Canis lupus familiaris: one gene and its partner. Each later gene encodes a partner of the first gene's protein in a complex. Links are inferred from orthologs where the notes say so. Each region holds a gene or a part of one and is shown in the gene's direction. Other genes may lie near its edges. The genes, in order: ELMO1 and RHOG.

What was found.
Region 2: the proteins of ELMO1 (region 1) and RHOG are in contact, whole or in part, in a crystal structure (PDB 7Y4A), measured with the Homo sapiens proteins. The link is inferred for Canis lupus familiaris from reciprocal best matches to the Homo sapiens genes ELMO1 and RHOG. Residues at the interface, in NP_001193409.1 of Homo sapiens: Lys9, Val10, Ala11, Glu13, Tyr18, Pro19, Leu21, Met22, Ala54, Asn71, Gly72, Ile74; in NP_001656.2 of Homo sapiens: Val36, Phe37, Asp38, Trp56, Tyr64, Arg66, Leu67, Leu70, Ser71, Pro73, Gln74.

What each region holds. Positions count from the first base shown.
Region 1 is NC_049235.1:48,789,928-48,794,401, reverse strand, and holds the start of ELMO1 (engulfment and cell motility protein 1), read left to right. Parts: upstream 1-1,512; 5' UTR 1,513-1,549; coding exon 1,550-1,638; intron 1,639-4,474. UniProt on the Homo sapiens protein: Involved in cytoskeletal rearrangements required for phagocytosis of apoptotic cells and cell motility. Acts in association with DOCK1 and CRK. Was initially proposed to be required in complex with DOCK1 to activate Rac Rho small GTPases.
Region 2 is NC_049242.1:26,500,599-26,505,127, reverse strand, and holds the start of RHOG (rho-related GTP-binding protein RhoG), read left to right. Parts: upstream 1-1,613; 5' UTR 1,614-1,716; intron 1,717-4,529.

The sequences.
Region 1 (4,474 bases):
TGGTGTAGAGATTACTTAAAGAACCTAACTTCTTAAAGAACTAAAATCTTTTTTTTTTAAGATTTTATTTATGTATTCATGAGAATACAGAGAGAGAGAGAGAGAGAGAGGGAGGCAGAGACACAGGCAGAGGGAGAAGCAGGCTCCATGCAGGGAGCCTGACCTGGGACTCGATCCCGGGTCTCCAAGATCAGGCCCTGGGCTGAAGGTGGTGCTAAACCACTGAGCCACCTGGGTTGCCCAAGAACTAAAATCTTAAAAACATTTAAGAATGTAAAAAGAAAATAGTGAAAATATTCTAAATTATATATATGTTGTATATATTTACACTATATATATTTTATTTGTATATACATTTTACATATATATATTATATATATGTATTTTTTAACCTAATAAAATAACCCAGTGGACTGATCACATCTTACACTATTAGCATTTGTTGAAATGCTATAATCAGCATAAAAGTTTCTAACAAGCTATTTTACATTCTGTTTTTCATACAAAGTCCGGTGTCTGTTTTCCACTTCCAGAACATCTCAGGGCGAGCCACATTTGGAGTGTTCAATAGTTGCTTGGGGCTCTTGGCTGCCAGCACAGGGGAGGGGGTGGGACTGCAATTTAAGCAGGAGTTTTACCCTCCACCTTAGAGGCCAATGCCTCCCTGCTCCCGGGTTACCAACTTGGCCAGTTTGAAGGGAATGCATTAGTAACCGCCTTTGTCTTTTCGGGTAGATAGCTATTTTTTTCTTTTTGAATTTGTTAAGGACAGGTGTTTCTCCTGCAACCTTCCAACCACTGTCACTTGCCTCCTTGGCAGCTAGGCTGGGAGTTAGTATTTTTTGATTCTTTGCTTTGAAAAATCACTGGAGTGGGTCGCATTAGACAGTGCACCCCCAATACCGAGCTGGGGAGGGTAGAACGTCTCGCTTCGTGAAAAGTCATGCCAAGTTAGGGAGTCCTTGGGGTCACTGATGAGAACTGCAGGGCGCACATGCCTCGGGGGCTCCAACAGAGAGCAGCAGAGGTTGGGTTACCCTCGCCAGGCCGCTCCGGGGTAAGCCCAAACGCCTTTTAAAGTCGCTTTAAAACAACCCGCCTAAGTCTCCCCCCCCACCCCCTCGAAATTGCATGCCAGCTGCCAAAAATGAAAGCATATAAAAAGACGCCACGCGCCCTCGGCCTCCCGGAGGTGGCGCTATGACGGTGACGGAGTTAATTAGTGCCTGCAAAGCGCCGCGTGTGAGCTCATCCGAGAAGTCATGCTCTGCACACATATTATTTATAGCCGATCTGAGGCGTGCACGGTGCTTGACATTTTCCTTATTTTTAAGTAGGGGGACTTCGGAAAGTGGTGGGCGGCCCCGCACCCCGTCCCCGCCGCAGCCCCCCGCCCCGCAGGGCCGAGGCGGCGGCAGCTCCCGGGGCGCGCGGGCGGGGACAGCGCCAACCCCGCGAGTCCCGCGCAGGTGCCGGGGGCGGCGGCGGCCCCTCGGCAGGGCCGCCCGCCCGGGAGGGGACTCGGCGGCCGCCCGCGGGATGCCTGCAGATGCACAATGTGTCTCCGGCCAGCAGGAGGGAGGAAGAGGAAGTGAGAGCAGCGGCGGCCGGCGGCGCGGCGGCCGGCGGGGCCCCAGGGTGAGTGCGTGTGCGCGGCCGGGGATGGGCACGGGGTAGAGGCAGAGCCGCCCCCCCCCCCCCCCCCGCCGCGGCCCCGAGCCGCCGGACCCAGCCTCGGGCCCCCTCCGCGGCCGCGGGGCGCCGCCGCCGCCGCCGCCGTCCTGCGACCCCCGGGCAGGTTCGTAAAGTTTCCTGCGCTGGCGCCGCGCCCCGACTCGCTGACCTCGGCGCGGCCGGGGCGGGGGCCGGGGCTCGGCGGGGGGCTCGCGAGGGGGCGCCCTGCCCCGGGGCCGGGGGGCGCCCCGGGCGCCGCGGAGACACTTTTGCCCGCGCCCCCGCTCCCCCGGGGCGCCGCGGCTGGAGCCGGGGGCGGCTGCGTGCGCTCGGGGCGCTCCGCACTCGGGGAAGTCTGGGCAGCGCCCGGCGGCCGCTGCGGGAGCGGGAGAGGGAGCGGGAGCGGGAGCCCGAGCCGGGCAGGGGCGCCGGGAGGGGCGCCGGGGAGGGGGGCCGGCGGCTCGGACCCCGGCTTCTGCTCCCGCACCCGCGGGTGGGAGGGAAGCCCTCGGCGAGCGCGCCCCGGGGAGGGGACAGCGATGGGGACGGGCAGGGGGCGCGCTTGGGGCGCCCGGGACCCTCGGGGGAGACGGCGGGTCCCCGCCGCCTGGGGACGCGCCTGGGGACGCCGCTGGGACCGCGAGGACGGCGGGGAGGGGGCCCCGAAGGGCGGTCGCGGCTCGGGAGGGGGCGCAGCGGGCGGCCCTGCACGGTGGCGGCAGCGGGGCGCGGCCCGGGTCCCCGCCGCGGGGGGCGGCCAGGTGGCGGGTGGCTCCGAGGGAGGGAGACGCGCACGGCGGCGGCCCGGGGCGCGCGGGGGGCCGGGGCCGGGGAGCCCGAGCGGGTCGCGGGCGCGCGCGAGGGCGGGGAGCGTGGGAGCCCGCGGGCGCAGGCGGGGCGCGGGGGGCTCGGGGCGCGGGGGGCTCGGGGCGCGGGGCGCGGGCTGCCCGCCGAGTGGCCCCCGGTGCCGCCTCCCGCCCGGGGCCGCTTCAAGTCGGCGGCGGCGGGCGGGGGTCGCTGGCGGTGCGGCGGGCGGGCGCGCGGGGCCCGGCCGGGGCCCCTGGACAGCTCCCGGCTCCCGGCTCCCGGCCCCAGGAGGGTGCGCCCCGGCCCGCTGCATCCAAGGTTTCCAGAGGCGCCAAGACTAGGTTTCGCGCCCCGGGAGGCAGAGGCCGCAGGTCCTGGCTTGGGGGGGCTGGGAGGTGGGGGGCACCGGAAGACTTCAGGAGTGTTGCCGGCGTGGTTTTTTTTTTTTTTTCTTTCTTTTGTTTCTGAAATAAAAGTAACTGATGATGTGTATTTAGGCATGGACTCTCTGAGGGGTAACTTTAAGAACCCCAGGAGGGACCTAACCCTACTCAGGTTCACTTTTAGATCAAAAAGCCGGCAGCTCATCCCGCCAAGTGCCCCCCACCCCCCTCAGTGCCCAGCACTTGGCGGGATGAGCACTGGGTGTCATGCTATATGTTGGCAAATTGAACTCCAATTTAAAAAAAAAAAAAAATTTTTTTTTTTTTTTTAAAGAAAGGTAACAGTAACACAAAAATAAGAGGAAAATCTCTATAAGGGATGCCCGGGGGGCTCTGCAGTTGAGCACCTGCCTTTGGCTCAGGGAGTGACCCCGGAGTCTCAGGATGGAGTCCTGCATCAGGCTCCCTGCAGGGAGCTTGCTTCTCCCTCTGCCTGTGTCTCTGCCTCTCTCTGTGTGTCTCTCATGAATAAATAAATAAAATCTTAAGGAAAAAAAAAAAAAAAGCCAGACAGCAGCTCTTAGTAAGGGCCTCTTCTGGTCATGTTTTTCCTGTCTCCCCTCCATACCTACTTCCCAAGGTTATTTCAAGGATTATTGTCCCTCAGTTTACAGAACCTCGAAGCCCGGATGCCCTGCTGTCATGTGGCGGACTTTATTTTTTACAGTTGCCCTTCTGAACCCCTGCTCCGGACTAGGGTACATTTCCTCTCTCTGGAGGGCTGTGGTTAAATGTTGCCTTTTTTCCTACTGAATCTATTACTCAGATTTTTTTTTTTTTAATTAGATGGACTGGTTGTCTAATGGGGAAACTGTGAGGGAATGACCAGGAGTGTTGAAAGTCTGCAGGGGGATGGGGTCAGGAGGGAAGGGAACTGGGGGAGCAGCTTGGTGGATATCAGGGAAGGGGCCGTTGCAGGCCCAGGCCTGAGTCTTGTGGAATTCAGGTGCAGGCACTGGACTACGGGATGGGTGGTGCCATGAATGGTCCTATCTCCACCCCCCCTCCCCCATGTCTCATCTTCCTGCTGTTTTTAAATAAAATATTTATTTATTTTAGAAAAAGAGAGAGAGAGAGAGAGAATCTCAAGCAGACTCCCTGCTGAGGTGGGGCTCCATCCATCCCACAACCCTGAGACCATGACCTGAGCCAAAACCAAGTCAGCCACTTAACCACTTAACCGACTGGGCTGCCCAGGTGTCTCTCCTGCTTTTAACTGCAGCCATTCTGACCACCTTACATTCTTCTTCACCAAGTTCTCTCCCCAGAGCCTTTGAATATGTTACTCCTTTTGCACAAAGCATGTTTCCCCGCATTTCCAGATAGCTCACTCCCTTGTTCACTTCAGGTCTCTCTGCCCAATTGTCAGCTTACAGGCAGCCTTTCCTTATTAATTAATTAATTTATTTATTTAAAGATGTTATTTATTTGACAGAGAACCAGAGAAAAAGCATGAGCAGGAGAAGGGGCAGAAGGAGAAGCAGGTTCCCTGCTGAGCAGGGAGCCTGATTAAGGGCTCTATCCTAGGACCCTGGGATCATGACTAGTGC
Region 2 (4,529 bases), on another chromosome or scaffold:
TGGCAGAGGTGGGGTGGGTGTATCTGTGTTGTGGGAGGAAGGGTGATGGCAACCACGCAGGGAGTGGTCCTTTGGGGCCGAATTGTGAAAGTCTGAGTGGATTTCGCCTGGCAATCAATACAGGAAAGAAGGCACGGCAGAGGGAATAGAAGGGGCAAAGACCCAAAGATGTGGGCAGACATGTTGTGTTTAGGAAACTTATTCTTTTTTATTTTTTTTAATAATTTTATTTACTTATTTATTTATTTATTTATGATAGTCACACAGAGAGAGAGAGAGAGAGAGGCAGAGACACAGGCAGAGGGAGAAGCAGGCTCCATGCACCGGGAGCCCGACGTGGGACTTGATCCCAGGTCTCCAGGATCGCACCCTGGGCCAAAGGCAGGCGCCAAACCGCTGCGCCACCCAGGGATCCCGGAAACTTATTCTTATAGCATGATTTTTTTTTTTTTTTTAAAGCATTCGTTGAATGTTTACTTTGAGCCGGGCACCAATAGCAGGCCTTTTACATCCATTCTCATGTTATCTCCCCTCTACAGGACGAAGGAGAGGTTATTCTATTTTACCAAAGATAGAACTGAGGCTCAGAAGGTTACGCTATTTATTCTTCCTTTTTATCTGGAAAGCCTCTTGGAGACAGGGAGCCTGTCCTAAACGCCGCACGGAGCTGCAGCTGTCCACGTGGTAGGCGCTCAGAAAGTTTGGGTTGAACGGAGGAAGGCTATCCGCCCCTTCTGGAGCCGTCAGAGCTCCTGAGCAACACCTGGGTGCAGAAGCAGCAGAGGGCGCCCGCGAGCCCGTCCACCCAGCTGTCCCCGGGGCGCCGGCAGGATCTTGGGCCTGGGTGCCGCCCTGCAGCCCTAAGCGGTGGCGCGCCCGGCGGCGAGGAGAGAGAGGGCGAGGGCGAGGGCGAGGGCGAGGGCGAGGGCGAGGGCGAGGGGAGCCCTACGTCCTCCGCCCGCCCCGCCCCGCCCCGCCCCCTCCCCTCCCCAGAGCCCAGCGCACGGAGCAGCCGGTTGCGGAACGACGACACGACATCCTGTTTTTGGGGCCCGCGGCTCGGTCGGCGCCTCTGCTGATCTTGTCTTTCCCCGGGTGCTGACGCCAGCTCCCCTGCCCCCAGTCTCCGCACCCTCCCCAGGGGTCTGGGGCCTTCCCACTGCTGAATCACCACCACTGCGCGCTCCGCTGGGGCTCGGGGCAGGGGTGGGGACTGTCCCAGCCGGACCCACTCCGGCCAACCCGCAGGCTGGGCCAGCGCTCCCTCCCTGGGCTTGACCGAGGCGCCCACCCTGGGGCGCCGGTTCTCAGCATCTTCCCGCGGGGAGTGGGTGGGGCAAGATACGGGGAGGGGGACAAAAGCTTGGGGCCCCGGCTACGGCCTCGACTGGGGTGGGGTGGCACGGAGGAGACGGGCAGGACTGACCTTAGGAGACCTGACTTAGGGCCCTCCGAGGCAGAGGGCCGGGGTTAGGGAGCCCAGGGCCCGACCCCGGACCGCGCCGGGCAGGTGTTGGGGGGGAGACCCCGGCCGGGGGGCCCGGGCCTCGCGCACTTCCCGGTCCGGCCCGCCCCGCCCCGCGCCCCGCCCCGCGCCCCGCCCCGCCCCGGCCGGCCCGCCCCCCCCACTTCCTCCGGCCTCCCGCTCTCACTTCCTTCTCGAGCCCGGAGCCGCTGCCGCCGCCCCCAGCTCCCCCGCGGCGGGGAGGGCACCAGGTGAGGCCCGGCGCGGGCCGGCGGGCCGGGGGGCCGGGGGGCCGGGGGAGGGGGCGGGGGAGGGGGCGGGGGAGCGCGGCCGGCAGGGACTGCGCGCGGGCGCGGGCGCGGGCGCGGCGCGGGCCGGGGAAGTTCGCTTGCGGGAGGCGCGGGCGGGAGCTTCTCGGCTCTCCGCAAGCTGGGCGGGCGCGGCCGGGCGGGCGGGCGGGCGGGCGGGGAGCCGGCCCCTGCGAGCCGGCGGCGGTACCGTGACGGTGGGTTTCTGTCCCCGGGGAGGCGGCACCGCGGAGGTGGGAGAGTCCCCGGCTCCGAGAGAAAAGTCTCCGAAGTGGAAGAGCTCGGAGCTGGGCGATGGGATTCAGGGCTGGGGTGACCTCAGAAGGGGAGGGGGGTGTCCCAAATTGCGTGAAGGAAGGGGGCCCCCTGGGCTGCAGAGAAAGTGCTCCCCTCCGCTCGGCAGTTGTGACACTTGCAAGGTTGGAGGTTGGAGGGGGGCGGTGTCTGGGGCCCTCGAAGCCCTGGACTGCGGAGAATAGAGCTCCCTCCCTGCAAGTGCCAATCCGGACCCGCATTCGCAGGCTGCAGTCCAAGGTCCTGTGCACTCAGGGGAGGGCAGGGAGGGGGGAGCCCCGCCAGTCGCAGTCTCGCTCTCTATGCCTGTTTTTCTGACGCCCAACCTCTCCATCCCTGGAATGAAGCAACAGGTATTTAGTTGGCAAACATCTCTGTGCCTGGCTGACCAGGGCCTGGCCTCGCTCTTTGGGGGGTAAACTGAGGAAGAAGAGGGCCTGGTCTTGTGACTAGCGGTGGAAGGACTCTCATTCAGAGGTGCTGATAGGCCCTGACAAGGTGGCATCGCTGAGATGGGGGCTATTTTGAGGGGATGAGAGAACAGACCTTCTGGGTGGCAGTGCCAGCTCTGGCCTTGGGAAATAATTGGGAGCATCTCCTATTCCCTCCACCCAATCGTTAGTCCCTAAATTCTATATTCTCATTTCTCTTCCTCCATTCCTTCTTCAGACCCTATCTGCAAACACTCCATCACCCTCTTCTTGCATCCTCTGTAGTCTTTCACCTAAACACACTGTCATGCCCAGGTCCTGTCCTGTCACCTGCCCTGCCCCTCTGTCCACCTCTGTTCCCTGCAGCCTCCCCACCTCCCTTCCTTGCCCCCCTACTGGTTCCCAAACACATATCCACCCTCTTGCTTCTTCCACCTTTCCTCACTTCTCTTAATCTCCCTGTCTCCTTCCCTTTCAGCCACTTATCTCTGGCTTTGGGGTCCAGAACTTTGGTGGGTTTGAGAGCCTTTTCAGATCTCCCGACCTCAGAGAGACAGGCTACAACCTCCCAGTGATAAAGATGATTAAAGGGCTGGAAAACTTTTCTCTATGTGTATTTGCCTGGGATTGTCAATGTGTCTATGTCTTTATCTCTTGGAGACAAAATAACTGCCCTCAGCCTTGAGAGGGCCCAGGGCAGGGGAAACCAGCAGAATGAAGGGAACCTGCAGTGGGTGAGGTTGTGGTTAGGCAGGAGGAAGCAGTCTGTAGCAGTAAGGGTAGAGTGACACAGGAATAAGACTGGTGAGCGAGGCCGTGGGAAATCAAATCACCCAAACCCTTGGGTGCTTAACCAAGAGGCCAGGTATAGAGGCTGGGAGAGAGCCTGAAGGCCCCTGATTCCAGTGCTTGCTTGTTCCTACACCACCTGTTAGGGAAAATGGGATGAGGTCAGCTAGGTGTGGTGGAAGGAAAGGGAGAGGACAAAGGCAGGATTCTGGAGGGAAGACTAGATAGCTGGTCTAACTTAAGTCTTTACTGTTTTAGTTAAGGAGAAGGAAGTAAGGCAGAAGTGTCTGCCCCGTCTTCCCTCCTTCCTTCTGGGGCCTGCCCAGCCTGGGAACTCACGTGCCCTGGCTGCATTAGGGTCTCCATGACAAGTCCTCTGCCGACCCCTCTGCCTTCAGGCATTGTTAATTTTCCCCCTCTCATCCAGGACCCTACTCCCTGTGTTTCAGGAGTTCCTCTCAAGTTTAACTTCAGTCCAGCTTGGCTCTACGCGCTCTTGTCCCCATTCTAAAGCTCCTTCCTCAAGTCTTTGGGAAGCATGCTGAGAGATCCTGCCTCTCCACCTCAAGTCTACTGTATTCATTTCTCCCCATTAGAAAAAAAGAGAAGTGGAGGGGAACTTTTTTGGGATTCCCAAGCACAACTAGATTTAAGAGCTAACCCGGTTCCTCATTCTAGCCTTTCCCCCTTCTTCCGTGAATTGTCCCTTCTTCCACCGTATCTCCTACTGTCACTCTGGGAGGTACAGGTGGTTCCACTCCAGGAGGAAATCCCAGGAACCTGCAAAAAATTCCAGCTCAGAGAAGGATGTGCATGCAAGGCACTTTTTCAGCATCGTGGCTCATTAAAAAACCATCCAGGAGTTCTGACTCCCCACCTGCTAAACCAGTCCTTATTTGGGGAAGAAATGGCTAATGTGAGATTGTCACAGATCCTGGTTGGGAATCTAGGATATGGAGAGTTGTTTCTGGCCAAATGTTAGGTCAGATGAAGTGGCCGAGGTGAGCTTTTAGGAGGTTATAGCAGGAAGATATGAGAAGTTGTAGCTATAATGAGACAGTTGGGAAGATATTAGAATGGGGGTAGCTGGGCAGCTGGGAAGAAGGTGGGGGCCTGGGCCCAGAATGAAGACCTCTCCCTCCATACACAGTGTAGACCCATTAGTAGTGAGGCTTGTAGGGGGTCTGTGAGGAGGGAAACCAAAGACAAAGCCTGGGCCGCCTCCCCAGAACAGATTGGTTT